7 linked regions of the Coturnix japonica genome follow. The protein of the gene in region 1 purifies or fractionates together with the protein of each later gene. This does not show direct contact. Links are inferred from orthologs where the notes say so. Each region holds a gene or a part of one and is shown in the gene's direction. Other genes may lie near its edges. The genes, in order: EIF4G1, MKNK1, EIF3B, PDCD4, EIF3I, EIF3A and EIF3J.

Evidence for each region.
Region 2: the proteins of EIF4G1 (region 1) and MKNK1 purify together in Homo sapiens (affinity purification with western blotting; 3 studies listed by BioGRID and IntAct, with this or other methods). This does not show direct contact. The link is inferred for Coturnix japonica from reciprocal best matches to the Homo sapiens genes EIF4G1 and MKNK1.
Region 3: the proteins of EIF4G1 (region 1) and EIF3B purify together in Homo sapiens (affinity purification with western blotting; 7 studies listed by BioGRID and IntAct, with this or other methods). This does not show direct contact. The link is inferred for Coturnix japonica from reciprocal best matches to the Homo sapiens genes EIF4G1 and EIF3B.
Region 4: the proteins of EIF4G1 (region 1) and PDCD4 purify together in Homo sapiens (affinity purification with western blotting; 3 studies listed by BioGRID and IntAct, with this or other methods). This does not show direct contact. The link is inferred for Coturnix japonica from reciprocal best matches to the Homo sapiens genes EIF4G1 and PDCD4.
Region 5: the proteins of EIF4G1 (region 1) and EIF3I purify together in Homo sapiens (affinity purification with mass spectrometry; 5 studies listed by BioGRID and IntAct, counting the BioPlex papers as one, with this or other methods). This does not show direct contact. The link is inferred for Coturnix japonica from reciprocal best matches to the Homo sapiens genes EIF4G1 and EIF3I.
Region 6: the proteins of EIF4G1 (region 1) and EIF3A purify together in Homo sapiens (affinity purification with western blotting; 4 studies listed by BioGRID, with this or other methods). This does not show direct contact. The link is inferred for Coturnix japonica from reciprocal best matches to the Homo sapiens genes EIF4G1 and EIF3A.
Region 7: the proteins of EIF4G1 (region 1) and EIF3J purify together in Homo sapiens (affinity purification with western blotting; 3 studies listed by BioGRID and IntAct, with this or other methods). This does not show direct contact. The link is inferred for Coturnix japonica from reciprocal best matches to the Homo sapiens genes EIF4G1 and EIF3J.

Annotation. Positions count from the first base shown.
Region 1 is NC_029524.1:13,914,605-13,918,104, forward strand, and holds part of EIF4G1 (eukaryotic translation initiation factor 4 gamma 1), read left to right. Parts: intron 1-765; coding exon 766-786; intron 787-999; exon of another isoform or gene 1,000-1,078; coding exon of another isoform or gene 1,079-1,117; intron 1,118-1,368; coding exon 1,369-1,542; intron 1,543-1,849; coding exon 1,850-1,949; intron 1,950-2,580; exon of another isoform or gene 2,581-2,599; intron 2,600-3,500.
Region 2 is NC_029523.1:19,353,105-19,356,991, reverse strand, and holds the end of MKNK1 (MAP kinase-interacting serine/threonine-protein kinase 1), read left to right. Parts: coding exon 1-28; coding exon of another isoform or gene 29-32; intron 33-647; coding exon 648-691; intron 692-1,619; coding exon 1,620-1,848; 3' UTR 1,849-3,387; downstream 3,388-3,887. UniProt on the Homo sapiens protein: May play a role in the response to environmental stress and cytokines. Appears to regulate translation by phosphorylating EIF4E, thus increasing the affinity of this protein for the 7-methylguanosine-containing mRNA cap.
Region 3 is NC_029529.1:3,185,052-3,189,189, forward strand, and holds the start of EIF3B (eukaryotic translation initiation factor 3 subunit B), read left to right. Parts: upstream 1-1,338; 5' UTR 1,339-1,637; coding exon 1,638-2,073; intron 2,074-4,138.
Region 4 is NC_029521.1:23,094,881-23,098,380, forward strand, and holds the end of PDCD4 (programmed cell death protein 4), read left to right. Parts: intron 1-390; coding exon 391-498; intron 499-1,341; coding exon 1,342-1,452; intron 1,453-1,842; exon of another isoform or gene 1,843-1,903; coding exon 1,904-2,043; exon of another isoform or gene 2,044-2,323; intron 2,324-2,569; exon of another isoform or gene 2,570-2,779; intron 2,780-2,944; exon of another isoform or gene 2,945-3,040; coding exon 3,041-3,101; 3' UTR 3,102-3,215; downstream 3,216-3,500. UniProt on the Homo sapiens protein: Inhibits translation initiation and cap-dependent translation. May excert its function by hindering the interaction between EIF4A1 and EIF4G. Inhibits the helicase activity of EIF4A. Modulates the activation of JUN kinase.
Region 5 is NC_029538.1:4,527,855-4,531,920, reverse strand, and holds the start of EIF3I (eukaryotic translation initiation factor 3 subunit I), read left to right. Parts: upstream 1-1,266; 5' UTR 1,267-1,294; coding exon of another isoform or gene 1,295-1,307; 5' UTR 1,308-1,381; coding exon 1,382-1,384; exon of another isoform or gene 1,385-1,388; intron 1,389-1,547; coding exon 1,548-1,640; intron 1,641-1,766; coding exon 1,767-1,854; intron 1,855-2,106; coding exon 2,107-2,172; intron 2,173-2,481; coding exon 2,482-2,631; intron 2,632-2,735; coding exon 2,736-2,863; intron 2,864-3,141; coding exon 3,142-3,252; intron 3,253-3,529; coding exon 3,530-3,619; intron 3,620-3,874; coding exon 3,875-3,948; intron 3,949-4,066. Other genes in the region: TMEM234 (transmembrane protein 234), read right to left, coding at 275-367, 654-720, 1,005-1,156, 1,295-1,307. UniProt on the Homo sapiens protein: Component of the eukaryotic translation initiation factor 3 (eIF-3) complex, which is required for several steps in the initiation of protein synthesis.
Region 6 is NC_029521.1:26,731,030-26,734,529, reverse strand, and holds part of EIF3A (eukaryotic translation initiation factor 3 subunit A), read left to right. Parts: intron 1-1,047; coding exon 1,048-1,874; intron 1,875-2,733; coding exon 2,734-2,908; intron 2,909-3,259; coding exon 3,260-3,429; intron 3,430-3,500. UniProt on the Homo sapiens protein: RNA-binding component of the eukaryotic translation initiation factor 3 (eIF-3) complex, which is required for several steps in the initiation of protein synthesis.
Region 7 is NC_029525.1:17,930,937-17,933,370, reverse strand, and holds the end of EIF3J (eukaryotic translation initiation factor 3 subunit J), read left to right. Parts: intron 1-94; coding exon 95-168; intron 169-900; coding exon 901-1,032; 3' UTR 1,033-1,934; downstream 1,935-2,434. UniProt on the Homo sapiens protein: Component of the eukaryotic translation initiation factor 3 (eIF-3) complex, which is required for several steps in the initiation of protein synthesis.

The DNA of each region.
Region 1 (3,500 bases):
AGCAGGCTGGAGGAAAGAGGTTCATTACTCAGTGGGATCAGCTGGAGGGGTTTCACTGCGGTGTCCCCGAGTTTCTTGGCTGCTTTTGCATGAAGTCTAGTGCATGTGGCTCTGCCTGTGCTAGTCCCAGCCCAGGCCTCTGCTTCTGCCTGTGCCCTTCTCCTCATCTTCTTCTTCCTTCTTTCTGTGGGGTGGAGTGTGGGGGGGGTCTCCTGAGGCAGCAGTTGTGTCACACTGCTGGCCTGTCCCTGACTAATGCAGTGCCCTGGGAGTGATAGTGTCTCTCTGCAGTGTACCCAGCATGTCCCTTAGGCTGTGGGAGGCTGCAGCCATGGTGGGGCTGGGACCTGACAGTGCCAGGAGGTGGACAAGGCCTTGTGCCCAGCAAGCTGGATGTGTCCCCCTGCATCCTGCCTGCAACGCTGCAGCTGTTGCCCCTGGGAGTTTGAGCAAAGCGCCTCATTCAGCTCCAAGGAACAGCTGGGCACAAACCTAGTGACATCCACACTGTGCTGGGTCCCCCTGGCTCCATAGGGACCTCCATAGGGGCAGGCAGCTCCCCGCGTCCCCCAGCATGGGTGGATCTGGGATGTGGCCATCACACTGGCAGCCTGGCTGCTGCTCCTCCATCCCACAGCACCACGCTTGCACTCCCACCCCGTCCCCTCTCACCACCCCATCCCCTCATCCCACCCCAGCGCGGCAGTGTAACTCCTGTCTCTCTCTCTTTCCCCTCTCCCTCTGTCTGCGTGCACTTGCTATCAGGGAGGATTCAGGTCTCTCCAGGTAATGCTTTCTCCTTGCTCCAGCCTTGCCCTGCACACCAGACGTGCAGACACCTCCTTCCCTGCTGCCTGTTCCCCAGCCCTGGGGTGCTGCCACCCAGTAAAGCAGTGCTGCAGGGGCTGCGTGTCCTGCACGTTGCAGCATGGCACAGTGGGACTGCAGGTCCCGGCATTCAGCGCGAGTGCCGGCCCCCATTGCAAGGCACGCTGGGACGTGCCGATGAGCTGCGTGCAGCCGTGGCCGGCTCCGGGCGCTGCCGGCCCTGCTGGGCTGGGAGTGGGCTGTGCTGGGCATGAGCTGGGTCGGATGGAGCCAGGTGGGCCCCCCACAGGTGTGTGGGGCAGTAGGGGGTGCCTGGAAAGGAGGGGAGGGGGTGTAAGGGGTGAGCTGCATTCTGGTGGGGGGGCTCCCCTCTTTAAATCTCCACCCAGGGGTGCTCCCTGTGCCTAGGATGAGTTTTGGGGTGATAGGTGCTGTGAACCTTCTGTCTGGGTTAGAGGGGGGGCCTGGCTCGGTTGCCTCGTCCCTTTGGCAGGGGGGTGCTATTGCTCTGGCCTCACTGCATCCCTGTCTCTCCCAAAGCATTTCTACCAGAACAGGGCCCAGCCTCCTGCCAGCGCGTCCCGCGTGCAGAGCAACACAACGGCCCGGCCTGGCCCTCCTGCCCATGTGTATCCAGCTGCTTCCCAGGTGATGATGATACCCTCCCAGATATCCTACACACCTTCCCAAGGAGCCTATTACATTCCCGGACAGGTGAGGGCTGTGCCCCGGGCTCTGCGGGATTGGGCTGGGGTGGGCTCAGGGTTGGAGCCCAAGTTTGTTCTGGGAGGTGGAGGGGGTTACCCTGGTTCTCTGAGCTGTCCCTGACTCCATCAGGGTGTTGTCCAGCTCTGCAGAGGGGCAGCACCTGTGGGGTTTTGTGGGCTAACCCTGGGTACTTGATGCTTGTCTTGTGTCCTGTGCCCTGCCTTAATGGCACGCAGGTTTGGGGCACGCACTGGTTTGGTATTTGCCTGTGCCCTGCTGGGAATATAACCAACTTTCTTCTCCCCTATTTCAGGGTCGTTCAACGTACGTTGTCCCAACACAACAGTACCCAGTTCAGCCTGGTGCCCCTAGTTTTTACCCTGGAGCCAGCCCCACAGAGTTTGGGACTTACGGTACAGACTGGGGGGATTACTCTGTGTGCCATTGCTCTTCCATCCACGATGCTTCATCCCTTTTGCTCCTCTGACTCTGGCCTCCCTGCAACCCCACAAATTGGTGGGCTGAGCACAAATTCCCTGTGTCTCTGGGTTTTGTGAGGTGCATTCTGTGACTGCTGACGCCACTACGTGCTCTTTTGGGATCTTAGGGGGGGCTCTATGTCTCCCAGTGCATTCCTGAAGGCCGTGCATCGTGTCCCATCTGTCCACCCACCTCCTTTTCCAAATCGGGACAGATTAATGTTTAACTGCCCAGGCAGAGGGACAGGGCAGACTTTATCCCCTTTTCCCCTTGGCTTGCAAGCTGGTGGTGAGTGGTTGTTTGGTGCTGCCTCCCCTGCCTGAGCCAGCTGCATGTCCTGGGTGAGCAGGGTCTGGGCAGTGACTGCTCCACGCCTGCCCTCTCCCGGAGCTGGGGAGTGGTGGTAAAAGCAGCCCCCCCTCCTTCCCCCGGCTTGTATGCAGCCACCCAGGCTGTGACTATATTTAGGCTTGGTCCTTCCCGGGAGGCCTGGCAGACTCAGAAATGTGAGCTGAGGCCTCCGTCCCGTCCCCGGTATGGCAGCAAAGCAAACTGGGGCGGAGAGGGGTTTCTCCTGAGCCAGGTATGTGTTTGTCCTCCCTCCCTTTTGTCCCATCAGCCCCTCGGAGGGAGGAGGTGGCCCCAGGCATGGCCAGCTGGGCCCAGTCCCAGCACTCGGCCTGTTGCTGCACTGCTCCATAGTGCCTGGAGCGTGCTGGGTGGTTCTGTCCCCTAGCCTGCAGTCTTAGGGTCTCCTCCTTCCCCATCCCCCTAGCTACTAGAGGGATTTGAGGCCCTTCTGATGTTCCCCCAGCCTATCACTGGGGTCCTCTTCTGTGGCTTCATGGCTTCCCTAACATCTGGCCCCAACCCCAAGCTGCTTCCCTGGGCAGGCAGGCTGGCTTTGTGTCACGCGTGGGTCACCAGAATGGGGGCAAAGTGGCTGTCAGTGTGTCACTGAGTGAGTTCTGTGTTCAGTGTGGCTGAGAAATGCTAGAGGTGGGAGGAGGCCAGGGTACAGCTGCCCCTGTCCCTCCCTGTGCAGGTACTGCAGTCGCTTCCAGCCTGGGGCACGATGCAGCCCTGGCTGATGCCAGCCCTACCTAAGAAGCTCATTGCATGGATAACTTGGGGAGGAACACAGCACCTTTTGGGGTCTGGATCAGGGCCCAGTGTTGCATCCAGCCCTCAGCATCATTCAGTGCTGTGAGCTCAGTTCACAGTGGTCTGAGTGGGGAGCCCAAGGGTGTGAATGAATGGAGGGCGTGGATGGGGCTGTGTGGAGCCGCCCTTAGGCTGCTGCTGGCCCAGGAGAGATAAGGTTGCTGGCAGGAAGGCAGAACCCATGGAGCCAGGGCTCCTGCACCCAAGCATGGCTCAGCATCCCGGAGGGACTGGCGGTGTCCTGGAGCCGGTGGGCACGGCTGGGTGTGGGGGCGGCGCAGGGACGCCGCGTCTCATAGGGAAGGAATTTGGTCAGGCCT
Region 2 (3,887 bases), on another chromosome or scaffold:
AGTTTTGCAACATTCATGGGTTCAAGGAGTATGTATCCTATTGTGTTTTTAAGGGTCATTTTTCTTCCTGAGTTGTAAACAAGCTGCTCCTTCTCTCTAAATATTTAGGAGAGATATTTCATGTTTAGTGCTCGTGTCTTGATTAATTACATTATATCCAGTGGTTTTATTCTTCCCGTAGCTCTGTGTGGTAAATATTTGGATGACTCTGTCAAGCTTTAAGTATTTTTTTAATTTGCTTTATGCATTTTAAATAGCTTTCCTGTGGAAACGAAGCACTGCAGTGCGCTTATTGTGATGTTACTCTCTAATACAATGCTGCAGAATGCTGGTAGGTATGGTTTTAAAAGAACAGCAGTATGCTCTTTTGCTTTAGTTCTTAGTTCAAGAAAGAACAGATGGGGCCCTCTGGAGAGCTTCTCAAACTTTTGCATTGTACCTGCAAACGGTGGTCATGTTCTGTGATGGGAGAGGTGGATCAGAAAATATCAACAGTGGTTTGTAAACCTGTGGTGAAGCAGTTAATGTACCATATCCATTAGTTGTAAATCTGAGGGGGTTACCTGTTGTTCTTTGAAATCATTCTTGTGAATGTTTGATTCCCACCTACTCACACATAACTAACTTTTCTTAACTGCTTCTTCTAGCAGGCTCCTGAAAGGGGACTGCCTACCCCTCAAGTTCTTCAAAGGTAATCTTTTTTTCACCTTTTTTAATATCTATAAGGTTGGCTAGGAGTTGTTACTGAAGGAATGGGAGGGGCAGGAGGTGGCAAATGAGCGGGTAAGATCCGTGGTTAATAGTGGAACTATGTAAGTGTGGCAGCACTAATTTTGTTAAGAGCATCAGAAATATTAAAGCTGTCATTTTTCTTTATAATCTAATCTTACTTGTTTGTGGGAAAGGCATTGGAGAGGATTCCTGTGGAGCATGGCTAATCTTAGGATGGAAATAATCATGGTTTTGGCAGTTTGCTGCCCAGGAGGCAAAAAGAGGCATAAAGGCGTGTGTTACCCAAAGAGACTACATTTTGATGGGTGGGTAATCAAATGTACAGACCCAGATCTGACTTCCATTGAAAATGTGGTAATCACAGTAGCAATTTAACCATGAGCAGGAGAAGCTTTGTATTAAGTGGTTTGATGGCAGATTCTGGATGCTGTAGGGCCTGAGTCACACTTCTCTATTTTCATGTCTGCCACTGGCAATTCCAGGTTCTTCCTATCCTCAGAAATGCAATTCCTGCACCCAGATGTGCAGTTCTAGTGGGACTGCAGTTCTCTGAAGAGAAACAGTGTTGTCCCACATGCCTCTCCTTTCTTAACATGTAGAAGCTGAAGCACAGTGTTGCAGGTGGATTCCTGGGTTTTCCTGGGGAGTCCTTGGCAGACAGAGGACTAAAACTGTGTCTGTTTCCAGAATCTCAAAGCATTTTTATTATGTATTGCTGGTTGCCACAGAGAGATGCAAATATTAACTGGTCTTATTGCTTACCGTGTCACTGTTTGGATAGGAGAAAAAAAAAAATGCATGGAAATGCATATTCTGCTGTTAGGGTAAGCAGCCAAACTTATCCTCTTTGTATGTGTTCTAACTGCTTTCCTTTTTTCCCTTGAAAGGAACAGTAGCACAAAAGACCTGACGCTTTTTGCTGCTGAGGCTATAGCCCTTAACCGCCAGTTGTCTCAGCACGAGAACGAGCTCAGCGCAGAACAGGAGAGCGTTGCCCAAGCTGTGTGCTCCATGAAGCTTTCTCCTCCATCCAAATCCCGGCTCGCCAAGCGAAGAGCAATGACACATGCCACCAAAAACTGTGACTTCCAGCCAGTTCCCCATAAAGCCTTTTAAACTTCTTTCCTGCTACAGATTGGCGAGATCAGCCTGTTTTATTAGGTGGATTTTCAGTACTGATAAAAGCTTATCTGCTTCTTACTCTTTGAATAGAAGCTTGCTCTTTGTGATGTGCTTCATAATGTAAAGGGGGTAGCTTTTTATGGGAATGTTTTTGCCTGTCAGATTTGGTGCATTAAGATAATTTAACTGATGTTTTTAAACTAGAGAAGATGGTTTTGCTGCTGTATTATCTGAGGTGATGCATCACAAAGCTTTCATGTTTTCTTCTTAGAAGAGCACACTTTAAAATTCAAGCTTAAAAACATCGGGGAAAAAAATACTTTCTTGCTTTGCCTGGCAGAGCATAAAGTTTACATATGTTTGCTCTCTTTGATGGCAAATCCTGCAAGGTTGCTGCTGCTACTGTCAGCAGCAGGGACTGTTTTCAACCAACAGTGCCCATCTCTCTTCTTGTAGACTCAGGAAACAGAAATGATGACTGGAGGGTGGATCTTTGTCTCCACTGCCTTCACTGGGCATAAATGTTTAGTGAATAATATTGTAAAGGTGTAAGGAGGTCTCAAGCTTGCAGAGATGATGAGGACCTTGTTGCTTCTTTTTATTATTATCCTTGTTGGTAGTTTGTGTGTCTGCATGTGGGACGAAATCTGGAAGTGTTACTTCTTTTTCTGACATCTTGTTCTCAACTACAATGTACTGTAACAAAACCATGACAATATTATACCAGTTCTTTTTGTCCATTGTCCCCTTCTCTTACAGTTACACTGATAACCACGTTATTACATATTATTATGCTTAATATCTGTTTTGCTTTGTACGTTAATACTGTTGTCCACTGTACCTTCCTTTCTTCCTCACGTTCTTCCAAATCCATTTGTGTGCATTACCTGCAGTTCTTAATGGACAGGCTTGAGTAAATTTTGGTACGTGAGTGATTTAGGATTATCAAATCTGGAGGTACATCTGTTGAAAAGCATCTGTGCAGTGATCTCAGGCTGAGGGACTAGATTTTAAGTACCAGTTTTAGTACCGTGATGCACCAGGGATCAGAAGTTATTTGAAAGGGTATTGGCTGAAAAGCTGAAGATTTTGAGTGACCAAGTTGAGGTGTCCGTTGAGAAGGATGCAACTGTTGAGCACTTTCTAAAACATAAGCTGTGAAAATAGGGCTGAGATGCCCAACGTGATGCACCTTAACCTTGCCAGCCGTTTGTTTGCTTGGGCATTGTGTACAGGCTGAGGAGGGTCCCCAGTGCAAGCATAAAGCCCTCCCAAGCAGAATGAAAAGGAGTTAAAGTAGCTGATCCAACAAGTGCTTGGAAGTTGAGTAGTCAAAGCTGAATGTCTTTGTATGTCCTATTCAGAGCAGTTTTACATTCTTTTATCAGTGTGCACACAGCTATTTTTATACAACATTCTGTATTTTGTGACTAGTATTAAAGTTCTTATTTAAAAGGTTTTCTACGTTGTGCCAGTGATGATGAAATGTATGTTGCTTTGTTTTTATTAAAACGTTTTAAGCTTTGGATTTAACACGTTTGACAGTTCTTCTGTGTGGTTTTTTGCTGTTGATTTTTGGTGACTTTGGGAAAAAGAATAATCAGGAATTACTTCTCTATGGTTACTCTTGAGAATAAGCATAGCTGTCACTCCTTGACTGTATTATTTTATCAATCTCAAGCAGGACTTGCACTAAACTTTGTCTGATGATTATGAGAGCCCTTCAGCTGGTGGCTCTGAGTCCCATGGTGCTTAAAGCTGCCTTGTGGATGCTGCCAGCAGCTGCCTCCACGTGTGACCTGTATTAGAGCATCCCCTCTGATTCATACTTACAAACTCATCTGTTCAGGGCTTGAAGCTGAGATGTTGGGCTTTTAACTGCAGAGCTAAAATCTGGAGTGCTTCTTCAAGGCTGTAACTTCTGGCAAAGGAAAACAAGCAGCTGGTTGCAGTTTATGCCAGAGTCATGTAAAATTAGCAACTAAGAAAACTGCCCCAAAACAAGGAAGAGGCAGTCATTTAAGCCAATTGTT
Region 3 (4,138 bases), on another chromosome or scaffold:
GACAGAAGAGAGGAAGGGAAGGGAATAGGAAAGGAAAGAAGGAAGCAAAGGAAGATAAGGAAGAAGGGGACAGGAAGGAAGAAAGGAAGGAAGGAAAGGAGGAAGAAGAAAAGGAAGAAGGAAGAGGAGGGATAGGGATGGATGGGATGGAGGAGGAGGAGGAGGAGAGAGGGGAGAGGAGGACGGAGGAGGAGGGAGGAGGAAAGGGACGGGAGGGGAAGGTAGGAAGAGGGGAATGGAGGGGAAGATGGAGAAAGGAAGAAGAAGAAGAAAGGAAGGAAGGAAGGAAGGAAGGAAGGAAGGAAGGAAGGAAGGAAGGAAGGAAGGAAGGAAGGAAGGATTAAAATGTGCTGTAAAGTAAGAGAAAGTTCAAACAGATGACAGGGAAGAAAGACCCAGCATTCAAATTTGCTGATAGCTTGTAAACAGAAAGAAAGGTCATATAGAAATCTGTCTATCCCAGCAATGCAGGCAACTGTGAGGAGCTGCAAAAGCCGAGTCACAAAAGGACAAGCCGTATAATGGTGAGGATGCAGCTGGTGCTGTGGGTTGCAGCACAGCATGTCCTCCTATCTGGATAAAAAACGTGCTAGTAAGCAGGACAGGCAGCAGCTCTTCCTTTACTTCCTACTTGCTGCTGAAACCCAGCAAGTCACAGCCCGGCCCAGTGCTGTCACACAGCGGGGCCAGTCATCATTTCCATTCATAAACGCGGCTTCAAGAGGGATCCGACGCTCACAGCGCTCGGATGGAGCTCGGGTGGCACCTTGTGGCTGCCCGATAAATCACAAAACGAGCTTTTCCGAGCGGCTTCTGATTAAATCCTCAATAACTGCTTTTTCCCTCCAAAGCCATCGCTTAAACCTGACGGCATCAAAGAAAAGCCCTGTGTTCTCTGTTTGTGGATGTATCACCGCACACACTCGGACGTATCTTTGCATCGGGATCAAAGTGTCCTTGGTTTAATGGTTTAATGGACACAGAGCTCAGCTCACTGAGCCGGCGATGTGTTGGCAGGGCCGGGCCGGGCCCAGCATCACCGCCCCTCCATCACGAGCTGTGGTAGCGCCCGCCATCGCCCCGCCGCCTTTGGACGGGCCCACAGCGGTAGATCCGCGGGGGGGAAGGCGACAAGATTCGCTGTTTCCTCCTGCCCGGTGCAGGACGTTTGATGGCCTGAAGTGCCGGCACCGCACGGAGGGTTCGGTCGCCGCCCGCCCGGTTGAGCACAGAGACACGATCCGCTTTTGGCCTCCCGAGAAATGGTTCGGTCCAACCCCACCTCAGCGGACGGGCAGGAGCCGCCATGTTGGGCTGAACCATAAAGCAGTGCAGCAGGGGGAGCCGCAGCCGCGAGGGCTCGGAAAGGACGGACGGCGCTGCTGGCCGAGCAGGAGGGGTGAGCGGTGAAGGAGGCGGCGATCGCTCTGGGGAAGAGCAGGGAGAAAGAAGCGGCGGGTGGAAGCTCCATCGGGCAGCGCTGCTCTAACCCGGCCCCCCCCTCCCGTTGGTAGCGGCGGCTCGCGGGGCCTGGCGCACATGGCCCGGCGGTAGGAGCCTCCCCACCCCTCCCCCGCTCCTTTTCCCGTCGCTCTCGAGCTGGGAACGCGCGGCCGGTGGGGCCTCGTACCGACCCCATGCAGGGCACCGAGGACAGCCCCGCGCCGCCCGGCGCACAGGACCCGGCCGAGGAACCCGAGCGGGCCGACGGAGCGCCGACAGAGCCGCCGCCTCAGCAGCAACTGAAGGAGGAGGAGGAAGGGGAGAAAGAAGGGCCGGAGGAACAGGGCGGCTCTGAGGGGCCCCCTGAGCCGCCACCCGCCGCCTCGGAGCCCCCCGCCGAGCCCCAGCCGCTTCAGCCGCCCTCCCCTCAGTCGGCGTCCGGCCGGGAGAGCCCCTCGCAGGCCGGGCCCGAGGCCGAGCCGCCGTCGGAGGAGGCCAAGAGCGAGTCCCAGGCCGAGGCCGAGCCGCCAACCGAGCCCTGCGAGGACGGGGAGGCCGCGCCCGCCGAGCCCGAGGACGAGCTTTCGTTCAGCGATCCCGAGGGATTCGTGGACGACATCAGCGACGAAGGTTTGTGCGGGGCCGGCTCGGGGCGGGCTGGGCTGGGCCGGGGCGCTGCGGGAACGTGGGGAGGCCTCGGCGTGTCCGTGCGGTTGGTGCCGTCAGCGCTGCCCTCCTGAAACGGGGCGATGAGCTGCGGGTGTGGAGCAGCTCGGGGTCTGTGAGGAAAAGCTGGATACTGAGTGTCATACAATGACCCAGCCGTCGTTTGGCCCCATAAGGCGTTATGGCAGCAGCTGTCTTTGGTGCTTCAGTATTTCTACTGTTTCGGACAACTCTTTCAAGATAAACCGTGTCAATTCTTGAACAGCAAATCCATTTGTCTGTTGTGCCAGTTCTTACTCTGACGTAAATGCTGCTGTAGGTTCTGTAATGGTTACACGTATCAGAGCTGGAAAAATGCCTCTTAAAGCATGTACTGCTTCCTGAGTCAGCAGGTGGTTTGAATTGGTGGCGGAATACAAGTGGTAATTGTGCTTTCTTGTGTTCCATTCCTATGTTTAGCTTAATAAATAAGTGGAGAAGTATTTTGAATTAAGAAAGTGTGTTATTCTTAGTAGTGTATATGGCACTTTGAGCACGTGTATCTTAGAGACACTACCAAAAGTGTCTGCAGGTTTATCACTGGATTCTTGTCTAGTGAAGTGTTTGCTTTGGATGCTTTCTCTACATCGGGGATTATCACATTCATGTCAGTGTTTAGATAGAACCCAGAACATTTCCTGTCTTTTTTTCTGTTCTGTTCTTTAGGATTAATTTGGTTGACTCTTCATCTGTATGAATAATACAATGTTAGTGGCTGAATTACAGCGTTTAACTTTAGTCACTCCTGCTGGTCTGGTTTTCTATCTGCCTGTTCTACTTCTTGAGCTGCCTTATTCCTTTTCCTTTACCCTGATAACTCCACAGGACAATCAATTCCAGGCCATCAGCATCACTGATTCAAGGTTATTTCCATATTCCCACATTTATGATAAGAGTTACGTGTTCAGGAACAATTCTGAACCAGTCTGGCTTTAAGATTGGATCATCTCAGGTGTTAGTTTGACTTATGTTGGTTTTTTTTTCCCAGAATGGTGTTGGCACAGCAGAACAGCTGTTCCACCTTCCATAGAAGGAATGTGTCAGATCATCGCCCAGGTGCCATGAAGCTTTAGTTCAGATAATGAGAGAGGTCCTTAAAATTCTGCCAGCTGAAGATAGCCGTGCACCCACCACACCCCTCTTTTCTGGCCTGTGGGAATAGAGCTGGCTGAACCAGCCGCTGCCCTTTGAAGGTTTCTTTGTTGGTAGTTTTGCATTTAAGGTAGAGGAGATACACAGTGTAGGTATGTGTTTAACCTGTTAGAGTTCTGATTTAGGATAGAATGTCCTCTACTTCCATGTTAAGCTAAATAAGCATTCCTTTCTTTTATAGCCTTTTGTGGGAACTGGCTATGAAAAAGAGACTCTCAGAGCTTCAGGATTATCGTTCTCTTTTTCCCATAAGATTTTGTGGAAATAACCTGGTTCCTTAGAGGACATGTTTCCATATTACATGCAAGAAGAACTAAAGATATAAAGATTCTATAATTAAAAAATATTATTTTTCTATAATATCAGGTTTTGAAATTCCTTTTTTCAGTCCTTAGAGTTTTTGTAGATGCTTCCCTGCCCATCTGTTAGCTCTCAGGCCAGAGGTTACCTGTCAATGGCTTCAGTGTATGTGTGTTGTTAGCTAGCTGGGTAATGGCAAGATATCCTAATATACTCTAAGGTGTTGTATGTGCTTAGAAGTTAACTTATTTGCAGCTTCTTATTTCCTTTCTTCTGAGTCTTTGGCTCATACTGGGTGAACTTTCATCTTTGTAGAAAGAAGTTGAGGGGAAAGCAACCCAAATGTGTTTAAATTCTATGTTACCCGCGGGGTTAAGTTTGTGGATACAAAATAATTAAATGGAATTGTCTTGAGATACAGCTTAGAGTAAGGTATGCAGAAAATTCCACAGGTAAACTGTGTCTAGAAGCCTGCTGCTGTTTTTGTTGCTCCTAATTTTGTGTGTGACATAGGGCTGTACTGTGTGCCTTTCAACTG
Region 4 (3,500 bases), on another chromosome or scaffold:
ATAAAAGTCAGGAAGTTCTGAGAAAACTTAGGAGATCTGTGCTACGAAGTAGGCAGAAGGTTTAAAATAAATAGTCACATTATATTCTCTTGAGCTGTGAGTGTAGCAGATGATAAAGAGTTCAGGCAAGAAGATAAACTTGCAGTCATCACTTGAAGCAAAGTTTTAGTGGTAGCACATCTGTGTTACGTTACAGAAAGACGTATCTGGCTTACAGTATGTTTGAGGGTCCTGCCCATATCTCAATTTAATTCCATTTACTAGAACTCTAGCTGTAGGTTTGAGGAACTAGCTTGATACTAGATTGATCACCAATCAGCAGAACAGTTGGCAGCTTTTAAATCTTGTATCTAACTAGTGATGGGTTTTGTTTGTTTTAAAATGCAATAGATTGATATGCTGCTGAAAGAATATTTGCTTTCTGGAGACCTGCTGGAAGCTGAACGTTGCCTTCAGGATCTGGAAGTACCCCATTTTCACCATGAACTTGTATATGAAGTAAGGAGAAATGAGTCCCTTTAATGACTGCCGGGTGTTGTTTTGATGTGGGTATGCATTTAGCTGGAACTTGAAGCTCAGTTTCAAGTTTTGATGTTATTTAAGTAACTGAATTACTTCATGTAAAGTTAATGGTTTATGTGCTCACTGTGTGTATGTTGTGTAATAAATAAGCTGCTGGTCCTTCTGGGAAGATCCAGAATTTTATTTTGTTTGCTGGGTAATTAGCTGTGTTCAGACTATTACTGATACCTGAAAAATAAGAGCTTAGCTTATTTTCTGCTGAGGAATACCAGCAAAAGCCCTAGGTTGTATTGGAGTTTATTTCCTTTTAATTACGTGTTACAACAGTTTTCAGACATCTGGGCATTCTAATGGGTGTTGCCTGTTTTTGTTAAGATATAGTTTCCTTTGCAGGCTGGAATTGTTCCATGTAGTATCTCTGTAGAAGGCTGAGATAACTCAGAACCAGACTATACAAGAAAGATCTTTGCTGTATCTAGTAGGCAGTTTTGGTTTGCACTTGAAATGGTTGGATACAAAATTAATTGCCATCTGTGCTGCAGCAACCATGCAGATCCAGTTATGTATCCCTCCAACAAGGCAGTGTTCTTTACTCTGCCCAGTCCTTCCTCTTTTCTCATACCTTTCAGCTTTATGCCAATAACTTTTTATCAGGCTTTGCTTTCCTTTCAAATAACAATATTCTGGAATTGGAACTGCTTGTAGCAAATGGACTTGTCTCCCCAGAAATACATTCACTCTTTTTTTGCACTTTGATACACAACCTGCACTCAAACCACTGTTTTCCTTTAATTAAAAGCCTTGCATGGTTTGTTTTAGGCAATCGTGATGGTTTTGGAGTCTACTGGAGAAAAGACCTTTAAAATGATGCTGGATTTGCTGAAATCTCTCTCGAGGTCTTCTGTCATTACTATGGACCAAATGAAAAGAGTAAGTATGGCATTGAAAGAATGCTGGGTAAGATTTTCAAGTAGCTTCTATCTTCTTTTAAGTACTGGTTGTAATTTATTGCATCTCTCCTTGAGATCTGTGGCCTGCCCTCTATCTACAGGGCAGAGCAATTAATCCTTCTTCCTTGTGTTACTGGCAGCTGGGCTGTCGTATACATTCTGTACTGCCTGGATTTCTGACTTTAAGAAGCTAAAATGCTCAGCCAGTGTGTTCATATAGATGTGTTGTTGTGCAACACCAGCTCTTGGAACTGGCTGGTATTAGTGGCAAAGCAAGGTATAATTTGCAGGTGTTTTGCTTTCAGTTGATTGAAACAGCTTAAAGAATACATGAAACTGCATTCAAAAAGCCATCATCTGAGTGCAAAAAGATGGTTAAAAAATTGTAATTTTAGAACAACCAAATAATTATTTGCTTTCTTAAACTACAGGGCTACGAACGAGTTTACTGTGAAATACCAGATATTAACCTGGATGTGCCACACTCCTATTCTGTGCTCGAGCGGTTTGTGGAGGAATGTTTTCAGGCTGGAATCATCTCCAAACCACTGAGAGACCTTTGTCCTTCCAGGTACTTGTTTTATTACAGAGAGGTGCTGGAGCTCAGTTTGGAAGCAGGATCTTATAACCTGGGTGTGACGGGTTGGTACAGAGACCAGGGGAGATGGAGGAACAAAGAGAACAGGGTTGATACATATGTGAGGGAAGGAAGCTGCTGTTGGAATCCCTGGCAGCGTGTCTGACTGCTGCAGCACATGAAGGCCTGCATCTCCTCTCAGTTTTGCTCACTTGGCAGAGATCAGCGCAGTGCTGAGATGGAAGATCCAGGAGTTTTAATGATGCAGACAAACCTGGAGGGGAAAAAAGAACATGTTTTAAAGCAGTTTAAACATTGTAAACTGAATTAATAAGAGTTCTGGGATTAGACACCAATTCTCATGGTTTTTGTCAGAAAGCAACCAGGCATTTCTGTGGCAAAAGCTCTACATACACTAAAAAAGGCAACTGTGAGATACATCCAATATTGTAGAGTTTTCTGCTTTATTATTGCTTAACTGTAGCTTCTCGGTATTCTGTATTATTGGTCAGAATACAACCTTTAAGTTTGATGTGTAAATGTCGATGTTAAAACTATCCATGATATTCTGCACCAGAAATGCTGTCTGTTCAATATCTTCCAGTTTGAATCTCGACATCAGCTTGCACTGAGGGTTCGGTAGGGCCGAAAGTCATTGCTGCAACAAAAGCTTCATGATGCTTCAGCTCTCAGGAATATACAGACAGGAGTTTTGAGCTTGTGTTTCAGTCTGGGGTAGAAAAATGTCATTTGTAGGGTTTCAAGCGAGCAGCTTTTGGAAGCACAGATGGTAATGTTCAGTGTTAAAGGGACAGGAGAAATCTGAAGAGCTTCTTGAGAATAACATAGTGTAGGATTCTTTATCTGATTCATCATTTTGCTCAGTCTCACACACCTCACATTTAACTCGAGACCAAGAGAAGATTCTTCCCACTGACAGAAGTGATGCTACCACAGACTTGCTGATAATAGACTTTGTGTTGTTTTCCAGGGGCAGGAAGCGCTTTGTGAGTGAAGGAGATGGAGGCCGGCTGAAACTAGAAAGCTACTGAATGTCGGAACCAACTGCTGAAGCCTTAGAAGTTGAAAGGGAAAGAGACAAAAGAGAGGCATCTATATAGATATATACAGACACACAGGCCTTTTTTGGTCCGTGTGCCTGTATATACGTATATGCATGTATTGTATACCAAATTTCTACGAGTTGCTTAGCACAGTTGCTATATTTTTAAGAGCACGTGTTTTGGGTACAGATCAGTTGGTTTTTTTTTTTTTTGTTTTTGTTTTTTTTTTAAGAGTTTTATAGATTTCAGAAAGAAAAGTTCTTTCTTTGGGCATCCAAACAGACCAACTGGCCGCTCCGTTGTGGCGGTGCCTTCAGATAAGCTACCTTTTATAAGTGCCATAAGTGATCATTCCATGTTTGCATCCACGTCTGACTGCCGCTGTTT
Region 5 (4,066 bases), on another chromosome or scaffold:
TCTTAAGCAGGATAATGTTAGTGTATGGACATTTCTCTTATGGTTAAATACATCATTAGGTGAAGGCTCAGGCCTACAAGTTCTGCTAGCTTAAAACAGCCAGTTCCAGCCAATTTAAATTCACTAGCTCTACCCCCTTACAAGTCAGTTTCACTTCCTTTTCAGCTTCCTTGCACAAACTACTGCCTAAGCAGTTACCAGAAGGGAGCACACAACATTAAAACAACAAATAGATGCAGAATACAACGTGCCAAATGTTTTAAGCGTAACTTACTTTTACCACCAATATCCTCTCCCAAAATCCTTCCAGTCACCAGCGTGACTATCAGAGCCAGGGAGTTACAGAGCGGCACTGCCAGGGACAGCTCTGAAATTGAACAATTGTAACACGGTTTGAAATGGATGCGTCCTTCATTCAAAGACATCTACTTGAATCCCCCTGTGGCACAAGTGGTAGAAGTGCCGCTCTGCTACACAGGAGGCTCGAATCCCGGGGGTTGGACTCGATGATCTCTAAGGTCCCTTCCAACCCACACCAGACTGTGATACTATGATGATGATACTTGATGTTCAGCCAGATCACCAAATGAATCAGTAATACAGCTCCTCCCCAAACCCTGATCAACCCACTGGACAAAGCAGTGAGAGCTGACCTGCAGATGCCAAGGTGAGGTAGAAGAGGAGCGATCCACATTGGTTCAGCAGGAATGGCACCATGTACTGCGGAAAGAAGACAGGTCACTGCATGGAAAAGCATTGCAATGCCTGCAGCAAGCAGTGCAAGCCTTGGATGCCATGTCTGCAGAAGGCAGGCAGGTCTGAATGTGAAATATGAGGGTTAATTTCTACAAGTGTCTAAGTTCTCCATAAGAAGAGCAGGACTGCAGGTGGGTAGATGAAATGTTATAGAGTACAAATCATTTTGCTGATAGATGGGAGGTGCTGAGTGCAGGAAGGAGCATGAAGGCCCGTCCCATACACCCCATGATTCCGGCTGTGCTCACCTTGTAGTTGCAGCCCAGGAACCTGATCTCGGCCAGCAGCTGCCGTAGGAGCCCCCGGCGCTGCACGTCCAACAGCCCCGCCGCTCCCGTCCGTAGGAACGGCCCGGTGCTGCCCCATAGAACCGACACCAGCACCAGCACGGCGGCCTGCCCTGCAGCACAACATCAGCTCAGCCCCGGGGCTGTTGGCCCGGCCGCCATCAGCCCGCAGCCCCCTCACACAGCCCACCCCGTCCCCTCAGCCCCTCCGGGATCCACCCGAGGCCCGTCCCCCAAACCCGGAAGCTCACCGGCGGCCGCCATAGCGCCCCGTGACCCGGACGTGATACTCCACGCCTCTTCTCTCTCGCTCCGGTTCCGGCAGCGCCGTGTCCGCCATGGTGAGTCGGGTTGTGGGCCGGGCCGGGCTGATGCGGGTCCCGGCTGGGTCCTGGGGTCGGCGGGGCTCCTGGGCTGATGGTGGTGGCAGCCTGAGCCCCAGCCGGGGCCTCGGCCTCGCTTGGCATAGCGTTAAATGGCGCCTTCCCTCATTGCCGCGTGCAGAAGCCGATCCTGCTGCAGGGCCACGAGCGATCCATCACACAGATCAAGTACAACCGAGAGGGAGACCTGCTGTTCACTGTGGCCAAGGATCCCGTGAGTGAACCGGGGGCACCGGGAAACCGGGCTGTGTGCGATGGGGGGGGAGGGATAAAGGTGGGTAATTAACGAGCTCAGGTAATTGGTCAGAGCGGCTCTTCAAGCCTTTTTATCTTCTTTTAGATCGTCAACGTTTGGTACTCGGTGAATGGAGAACGGCTGGGCACCTACAATGGGCACACAGGAGCCGTGTGGTGTGTGGATGCTGACTGTATCCTTTGGGTGCACAACCAGTTTGTGCTCTCGTTCCTTGCAGTGATTCAGCACGGATGGCTCCATTCAGCTGCTGTGTTTAATTGTCCCTTGTGCCATCTCTTGGTTATTTGTGCTCCTTGGGAAGTTTCCCAAGTCCTGTAATTTCTCAATGTAACGCAGCTTCTTAATCTTGTGTGTAAATACTCCCTGGGTATCTAATGATTTTTGGGGCTGCAAACGTGCTGATATCCCTTAACTGCTGACCAAGGGGACACCCGACATGTGCTCACTGGCTCTGCAGATAACAGCTGTCGGCTCTGGGACTGTGAAACAGGTAAAGGCTCTTCTCTCCCACGTGGCTGGATCTGACTCAGCTCTGTCCTGTTCTGGGATCTGTGCAACATGTGCCTGTTTGCCCCTGAAAGAGCCCAAGTCCTTTCTTGGCTGTTTGTGTATTTGCCTTATTTTCAATGGGCACTTATTCATTTTGCTCACCAAGCACATTTAGTGCTTTCCAGTCACCCAACCTGTCTGTCAGCTCTGATGCTCCTGTTCTTTCTATGACTGCACTTCTGTTTGATTGCTTTCATTAATGTTTGCAATGCAAGACCAAGTGAAGTGATGGTTTCTGCTCCGTGTTCAGGAAAGCAGCTCGCTCTGGTGAAGACCAGCTCGGCAGTGAGGACGTGTGGCTTTGACTTTGGAGGAAACATCATCATGTTTTCCACGGACAAGCAGATGGGTTATCAGTGTTTTGTGAGCTTCTTTGACCTGCGTGACCCCAGCCAAATCGGTGAGGAATCCGGGCCTGTGCCTGCAACTGGGAATAAGGGGAAGCGTTGGCTGCCAAGAGCTGGTGCCACTCAGTCTGTGTGTCTCCATCCTTCCTTCCTGCAGAGAACAACGAGCCTTACATGAAAATCCCCTGCAGCGACTCTAAAATCACTAGTGCTGTGTGGGGCCCTTTGGGAGAATTCATCATCGCAGGACACGAGAGTGGGGAGCTGAACCAGTTCAGTGCCAAGGTCAGTGTGATAAGGAGGAGCATCACCCTCAGGCAGCAACTCTTGGGAGAGGATGTTGCAACGTTCCTGTTGTGATCATGTGGCAGAATGTGGGTTTTTTTGGCTCAAACCAGTGGCCTTGAGGAAGGATAGTTAAAGTATGTGGCTTTCTTCAGCAAAGCTGAACATATATATGCCTACCTTTCTGCTGACAGCAACATCTAAAGTCGGTTTTAGCAGAGAAGTTGTTTGTACACTTTCCTTGCCAGTTCACTTAAACTGCCTCGTTTACCCTTCAGTCAGGGGAGCAGCTTTCAAACATCAAGGAGCACACCAAGCAAATCAATGATATTCAGACCTCCAGGGACATGACCATGTTCATCACTGCCTCCAAGGATAACACTGCCAAGGTGAGGCCTCCTGGGGGGACTGCGGTGCATTGCTGACATCCGCTTGCAGGACCCCTGCTCAAAGTCATGGCTGCCTCAGTGGTTTTCTCTTTGGGAATTTGAGCAGGTGTAGAGCCAAAGCTTAGTGGGAGGGCTGATATTTGGGATTCTGGAGCAATAGCTTTGACATTTGGATGCCCAGGAGTGACTTTAGAAGTAACACCTGCTCATGTGAGGACTGGCAGCTGGGGTTTGCATGAGATACTTGGACTGCCACTCTCTTCCTTTTGCATTTTAGCTATTTGACTGCACAACGCTGGAACATCTGAAGACATTCCGGACAGAGCGACCGGTGAACTCTGCTGCACTCTCCCCCATTTTTGATCACGTAAGCATGAGCCCACGCATACTAACGGTCTTAGTGCAGCTCCTGCATTGTCTCAGGCAGCTGGAAGGCACAGTGTCACCAGTTCAGCCTGAGCTAAAGAATCACTGTGGGACAGGGCCAGGGGACTTGACTGCTGTCATGGGCTGTGCTGGGTTAGTGGGAGGCTTCCCCAAGGCTGGGCTCCCTCCTACCCTGGCTGTTGTTCCACATATGGTGTAAGCAGCACTGCAGTGTTGTGACTTTCTTCCTATGCAGGTTGTGCTCGGTGGTGGGCAGGAGGCCATGGATGTGACCACGACCTCCACCAGGATTGGCAAATTTGAGGCAAGGTTGGTGCTCTTCTCTGGCAGGGCTGAGTCTGCACTTGGAGTTCTCTCCTGCTCCCAGAGCGTCTTGCTATTGGCAGCATTTGGAGAGTTACTAGAATTGCAGAGCTTCTCTGAGGAA
Region 6 (3,500 bases), on another chromosome or scaffold:
ATGAAACATTTTAGTTACATATTGCAGAAGCATTTAATGCTTCTGTTTATATGCTTCAGATTTAACGCATTAGCTTGCAGCTAAAAATGTCTGGCAGGTATTGATTTCTTGTGGAGCAGGTCTGACATGCACGTAAAACTAGGACACAAATCCTCACAGTTACAGAGCAGCTGATTGTCTTTTGCAGCAGTCCCCAGAGTACAGGATTCCAGTGTATCAGTGTATTGCAGTACTCTCAGTCTTTTCTTTACCATGACTCCTGTGGGCATTACTGGAGACAGTACTTAGCTTAGTGACAAGGTAGAATGCTATCACTACTGTTCAGTAATGTCTGATCCTTTTAGTGTTACAGAGCTAAGCATATTCTAAAGATGAACTGATGGCTCAATAGCCCAGTGAAAACTCTCATCAATGCTTTTTATCCCTGCTACAACCTAGTAAGGAGAATCCCTGTAAGTCATCTTAGTCTGCCAGAGCTTGCACTTTGCTTGCAGTTGGGCAGCAGTAGTTGTTCTGCTGTACCCAGTTGTGTGTGTTTGTCAGTGAGAGCATCACCAATCTGTTAAGGGAAAACAGGGATGGGATTTTAGGGTTGGTGTGTTTGTGGAGATGGGGGATACTTCATGACCATGATTTGTGTGTTTGTGTTTGTGAAGATGGGGGATACTTCATGACCATGGTTTTTATTTTTAACGAGTTCTTTGAGATACAGAGTTTGTCAAATTAAGCTTGATGAAGAAGCAAAACACCTTCTCTGTTTTATTGCAGTAGATGGCCAAAGGAGACTACTAAGCAGCTGTAATGTTTAAAAGGATGATAAACTGTTCAGTATTAACTGAATCTGTTAAGGAGCTGACCTATCACTTTTGTATAGCACTCAAGGCAATTAGACCTTGTGCGTTTGAAAACTGCAAGCTCTGTAAATGTACTTGCAACCATACATCAGGTTTTCAGAAGTGATTTTGATGGGAGTCAGCAACACTTGTCTTACATGCAGAGCTTTCCTAGATGTCATTTTCTACTTGCTTATTCCTTGTGGCTTTATAGAGATTGGCGCCGAGGAGAAGCAAGAGATGATGAAAGACCTTTCCGACGAGGAGATGATCTACCCCGACGAGGGGATGATCTGCCCCGACGAGGTCCTGCAGAAGAAAAGGAACGGCCTTCTGTGGAATCAAGTGAGGACAGGCCACCTCGGCGTGAAGGGGATGAAGACAGACCACCTCGGCGCGAAGGGGATGAGGACAGGCCACTCAGACGTGGTTTGGATGAGGACAGACCCCCCAGACGTGGCTTGGATGATGATAGAGGGAGCTGGCGGGCTGCAGATGACGATAGGGGTCCCAGGCGTGCTTTGGATGATGACAGACCCCCCAGACGTGCTTTGGATGATGACAGACCACCGAGACGTGCATTGGATGATGACAGACCCCCCAGACGTGCATTGGATGATGACAGACCACCGAGACGTGCATTGGATGATGACAGACCCCCAAGACGTGCATTGGATGATGACAGACCACCGAGACGTGGCTTGGATGACGACAGAGGCAGTTGGCGAGCAGCAGATGATGACAGAGGACCCAGGCGTGGGCTGGATGATGATAGGCCGCCCAGACGGGCTTTAGATGATGACAGGCCACCCAGGCGTGGGCTGGATGATGACAGGGGCAGTTGGCGTGCTGCAGATGACGACAGGGGTCCCAGGCGTGGGATGGATGACGACAGGGGTCCCAGGCGAGGTCTGGATGATGACAGGGGACCGTGGCGTAATGCAGATGATGACAGGCTCTCCAGACGAGATGATGACAGGGGGCCATGGCGTAGCAGTGAAGATTCAAGACCAGGTCCTTGGAGACCATTTGGTAAACCAGGTAAAGCAGAATAATGCAATGATTTTTTCCTCCAAAGCATAGTTAAACCAGCAGATAGTGGATGTGATATGTTTGACACAAGAGGTGGGAGAATCATCTCTGAAAATGTCGGGAGTAATTCTGCTAACATGGACTCTCCTTTACTTAGGATAATTAATCGTTTTCGTTTGGTTCAATTAAACAAACCGTGTATGGCCAAAATCTAAAGGTCCCATAGTATTTGGTGGTATTTAATTGATGCAAAAAAACAAGATACACAGGTTTAATGCTTTGATGGAGGAAGAACATTTTCACTAGTTGAGTGCACCTTGATCTCTTTCCCTACCCAATCTGGAATTAATCTGCTATAGGAAGGACTTTGATGCATCATTGCATCACTCAAGTGGGTCTGGTTTGGATAAGGTTTTTTTCTTTTTTCCTAGATATAGAAATACTCCTATTTTTACCATACTTTTTTGGAACATCTTCCACTAAGTAGGATTTTAGATGAGATGACCTTCTGAGGTCCCTTCCAACCTGAATTATCCTACTATCCTATTCCTATGTGGTTTACTTCTAACCCAAAGTAGAAGTGTTGGTAACCATTACTTGTTTCTGATTGTGTTTTTTTATTCACATTTGTATGTTTAGCATCTTTTTATTTTATATTTTTACAGGTGCCACATCAACTCTTTAGACATCAATTATGTCATTTAAACCAGTACTAAAATTATCAGAAATCATTATATTTGCACTCCAGTAGCTTTTTCCTATGGAAAAAAATCCCAAACAATTGGCTAAACAGTTTATGGGAGAGAAGTAAATGCATCTTTGAGGAATTAAAGTTATTCATATATTCCTTTGACTTCATTGCTTACAGGGGGATGGAGGGAACGCGAGAAGGCCCGTGAAGACAGCTGGGGGCCTCCCCGAGACTCCAGGCCTCCTGGAGACCGTGAGTGGGACAGAGACAAAGATCGTGATGAGAATGAGAAAGAGCGTGAATTTGACCGAGAAAGAGATTTTGATCGAGATGATCGTTTCAGGCGTCCCAGGTTTGACTCCTTTGTGTAATTAAGAAATAATACGACTTCACGTAGTGAAATGAACTGTTGCTGATGTGTAAGAAATGGAGTTCTTTGAGGTAGTAAATGGATAATGATGTCATGGTTTGTTGTTCTTAAAATACTAACAGTGAATCCCAGAATGCTTTACTGCCTTTAAATATTTTGTTTTTTTCCCCCTGTACATTGTATTTCATGCTGGGCACCAGAAAAGATTTTGGAAGTCAGCATATTAAATAGAGACCCATCGCAACTGAAAGTATCAGTGTCATCATCACTTCTTTCTGCAGCAAAGATAAAACATTAACATTTAGTATCATTTTTCATTTTGAATGGCAAAAGGGATGACGCTGGTTGGAGAAGAGGACCAGCTGAGGAAACATCTAGCTGGAGGGATTCGAGTCGTCGTGAAGAGTGGGACAGAGGTGGTCGTGACATGAGAGATCGCCGTGCTGATGACAGAGAACCACCACTGAGAAGAGGACCTCCACTCAGATCTGAACGTGAAGAACGTATGTTTGTTTTGTTGTTTCTAAAGGCTTACAATCATTACAGGCACTCCACATTATCCTGGCAGCCTTAG
Region 7 (2,434 bases), on another chromosome or scaffold:
TCTCATACCTCTACAGTCATGAGAGGACTGTGATGATGGGAGGGTATGTGAGCACAAAGTTGATGAGGAATCTCTTTTTTTCTTTTCTCTGTAGTGGAAATTGATGATTTGAAGAAGATCACGAATTCATTGACGGTACTATGCAGTGAAAAACAGAAACAGGAGAAGGTGAGACACAATCCCACAGCTGGATGCAGCTGAGGCAGCTCCTGCTGAAGGTGCTCAATGCCTGCACTGCACAGCAGGTCCAGCGCTGACCTGAACTGCTGCTGGGGTTGTGTGTGACAGTAGGTGACGTTGTAGTCCTGGATACTGATCTAAAACACCCTTATATGTGTGAGGTCAGCAGGAGTTCTATTAAGTCAGAGCACAGGCCAAAGCCTTGGCTGGTAGACTGGAGCTGAGCTGTGTGTTCACATGGTGCTGTCATGGCAGTGAAGAGGCCCAAGTCAAGGCATCACAGGGCAGCAGGGCTACAGCATCAGGACAGCAGAACAACTGCAGCCTTAGGCCGAGTTTGTTGCTGGGGTTTGGAATAGCTGACGGTTGGGGTGTTCCTGTGCTCTGGCAATGGAAGGAGCAATGGCTGCATAGACATGAAAATGAGGTGAGATAATAGCTTAACAGATGCTTATGTGGTACAGAACATAACAGTAGGTTTTGGAGAATAGATTTAAAACCTCGGGTTGGTGGAGATTCAATAATGAGTTGAGCTGTATAGACAGCAATGAAATTGAAGATATCACTAGCAATGCATTTTTCGGAGTGTTAAATCAGGTTAGAGGACGGGTTCGTAGTGGAACAGCAATGCAGGTATTTGCTCCTCTGGGCTCTGTCTAATCAGAAGGAGGACAGACTGCTGTGGCTGTGTCACTAAATCCACTCTCCTTCCTTTTCAAGCAGAGTAAAGCCAAAAAGAAGAAAAAAGGTGTTGTGCCTGGAGGTGGATTAAAGGCTACTATGAAAGATGACCTGGCTGATTATGGAGGATACGATGGAGAATACGTACAAGAGTTTGAAGACTTCATGTGACATTTATCTCCCCTTCTGTTGTCTTTCTGTTGCCCATAACCCCTTAAACATGTAGCACAACTTCTCTTTCTTTAAATTCTGCCAAATGCTGTTATCAAGGTTGCAGTCTCTGTGCTGGTGGCTCGGCGCGGCAGGCGGTGCCCAAGTGCTGCCCTCCCTGTTCTGTGCTCGAGGCGCTGGAAGGAAGCAGCTCAAAAGCTCCAAAATTACAGGGGAAAAAAAAAATAAAAGGAACAACCCAAAAACCCACAAACCCAAATCACCGAATTCTGCTCCCAGAAATGGCTGTTTGATTTCACAGACAGCCACCAAATTGGAAATGAATTTCAAAGAGGCCGAGTATTACCGGCCCTCTTGTACGACACGGCCTTAACTGAACCTCCTTGAATGAGTTGTTTGATGAGCAGACGCTGTTTGCAGCCATGGGTGTGCACTTAGTATTACAGTTGCTTTGTCTTAGAGCTTGAGGTTTTCAGTGTATTGTGAAGGGGAACTGCTGACTTCAGGAGTGGGAGTCGCACGGCTGCACAGGGTGACGTCCACACAGCAGCGCTGGGAGAGAGCAGGGAAAGAGCTCCAGGTTTGGGAAAAACAAAACCAAAACTCACGCCATGATGGTGAGTTTCCATTCGTCTGCATTTCTGCCGGTGCCGCTGGCCGGGTCGGGCCCTTTAACAGTTACTGCCTGGTTTCGGTGTAAAAAACCAAACACGACTTTGGTCTCCTGGGCTGCGGTTGCTCTTTCATGACTCGGCTATTTTCTTTCATTTAAAAACAAACAACTTGCTTAGCAAACTGCAGCAGTTACTACAGTGGGGCAAATTGTTACGTTAACAATTACGACATCCGCAATGTTTTATAAAGCAACTAATTTAATAAAAATCACTATTGTGAGGACTTCACCACAGCGCCCTTTGGACCCTGTTCTTTCTGTGTGCTGCTGTTGGGGAGCAGAGCTTCATCACCCACCATGGCAGCCCTGAGCTCCAGGGAAGGCCTCGTCCCCACGGCTGCTCTGTATGAGCGTGGGAAGGAATCCATAACTGAGCAGAGCACAGATATTCGGTTCTTATTCTCTCTATTGGGTTCTGCTCTCTTGGAGCTTGTTAAACAGGAGCTGGGCTTAAACCTCATCACTAAGCTGGAAAACAGAAACAAGCTGATCAGATTGGAACCAAAGACGACAAACAATGGGTTCTCTGTAGCGTGTAGGAGCCAATTAATTCTGCTCGTTTTATCGTCAGGTTCAGGATGTTTTACTTTGTTTTCCTGCTGGTTGAGGTGCAGTTCCTGCTGCGATCCCTGAGACCCACAGCCAGCAGTCGGTATTTGAACAGGGTAGGATTTATTGTACACAACACCTTCAGGTTAAGACAGCAGCAGCATTCTAAGTACTTACAAC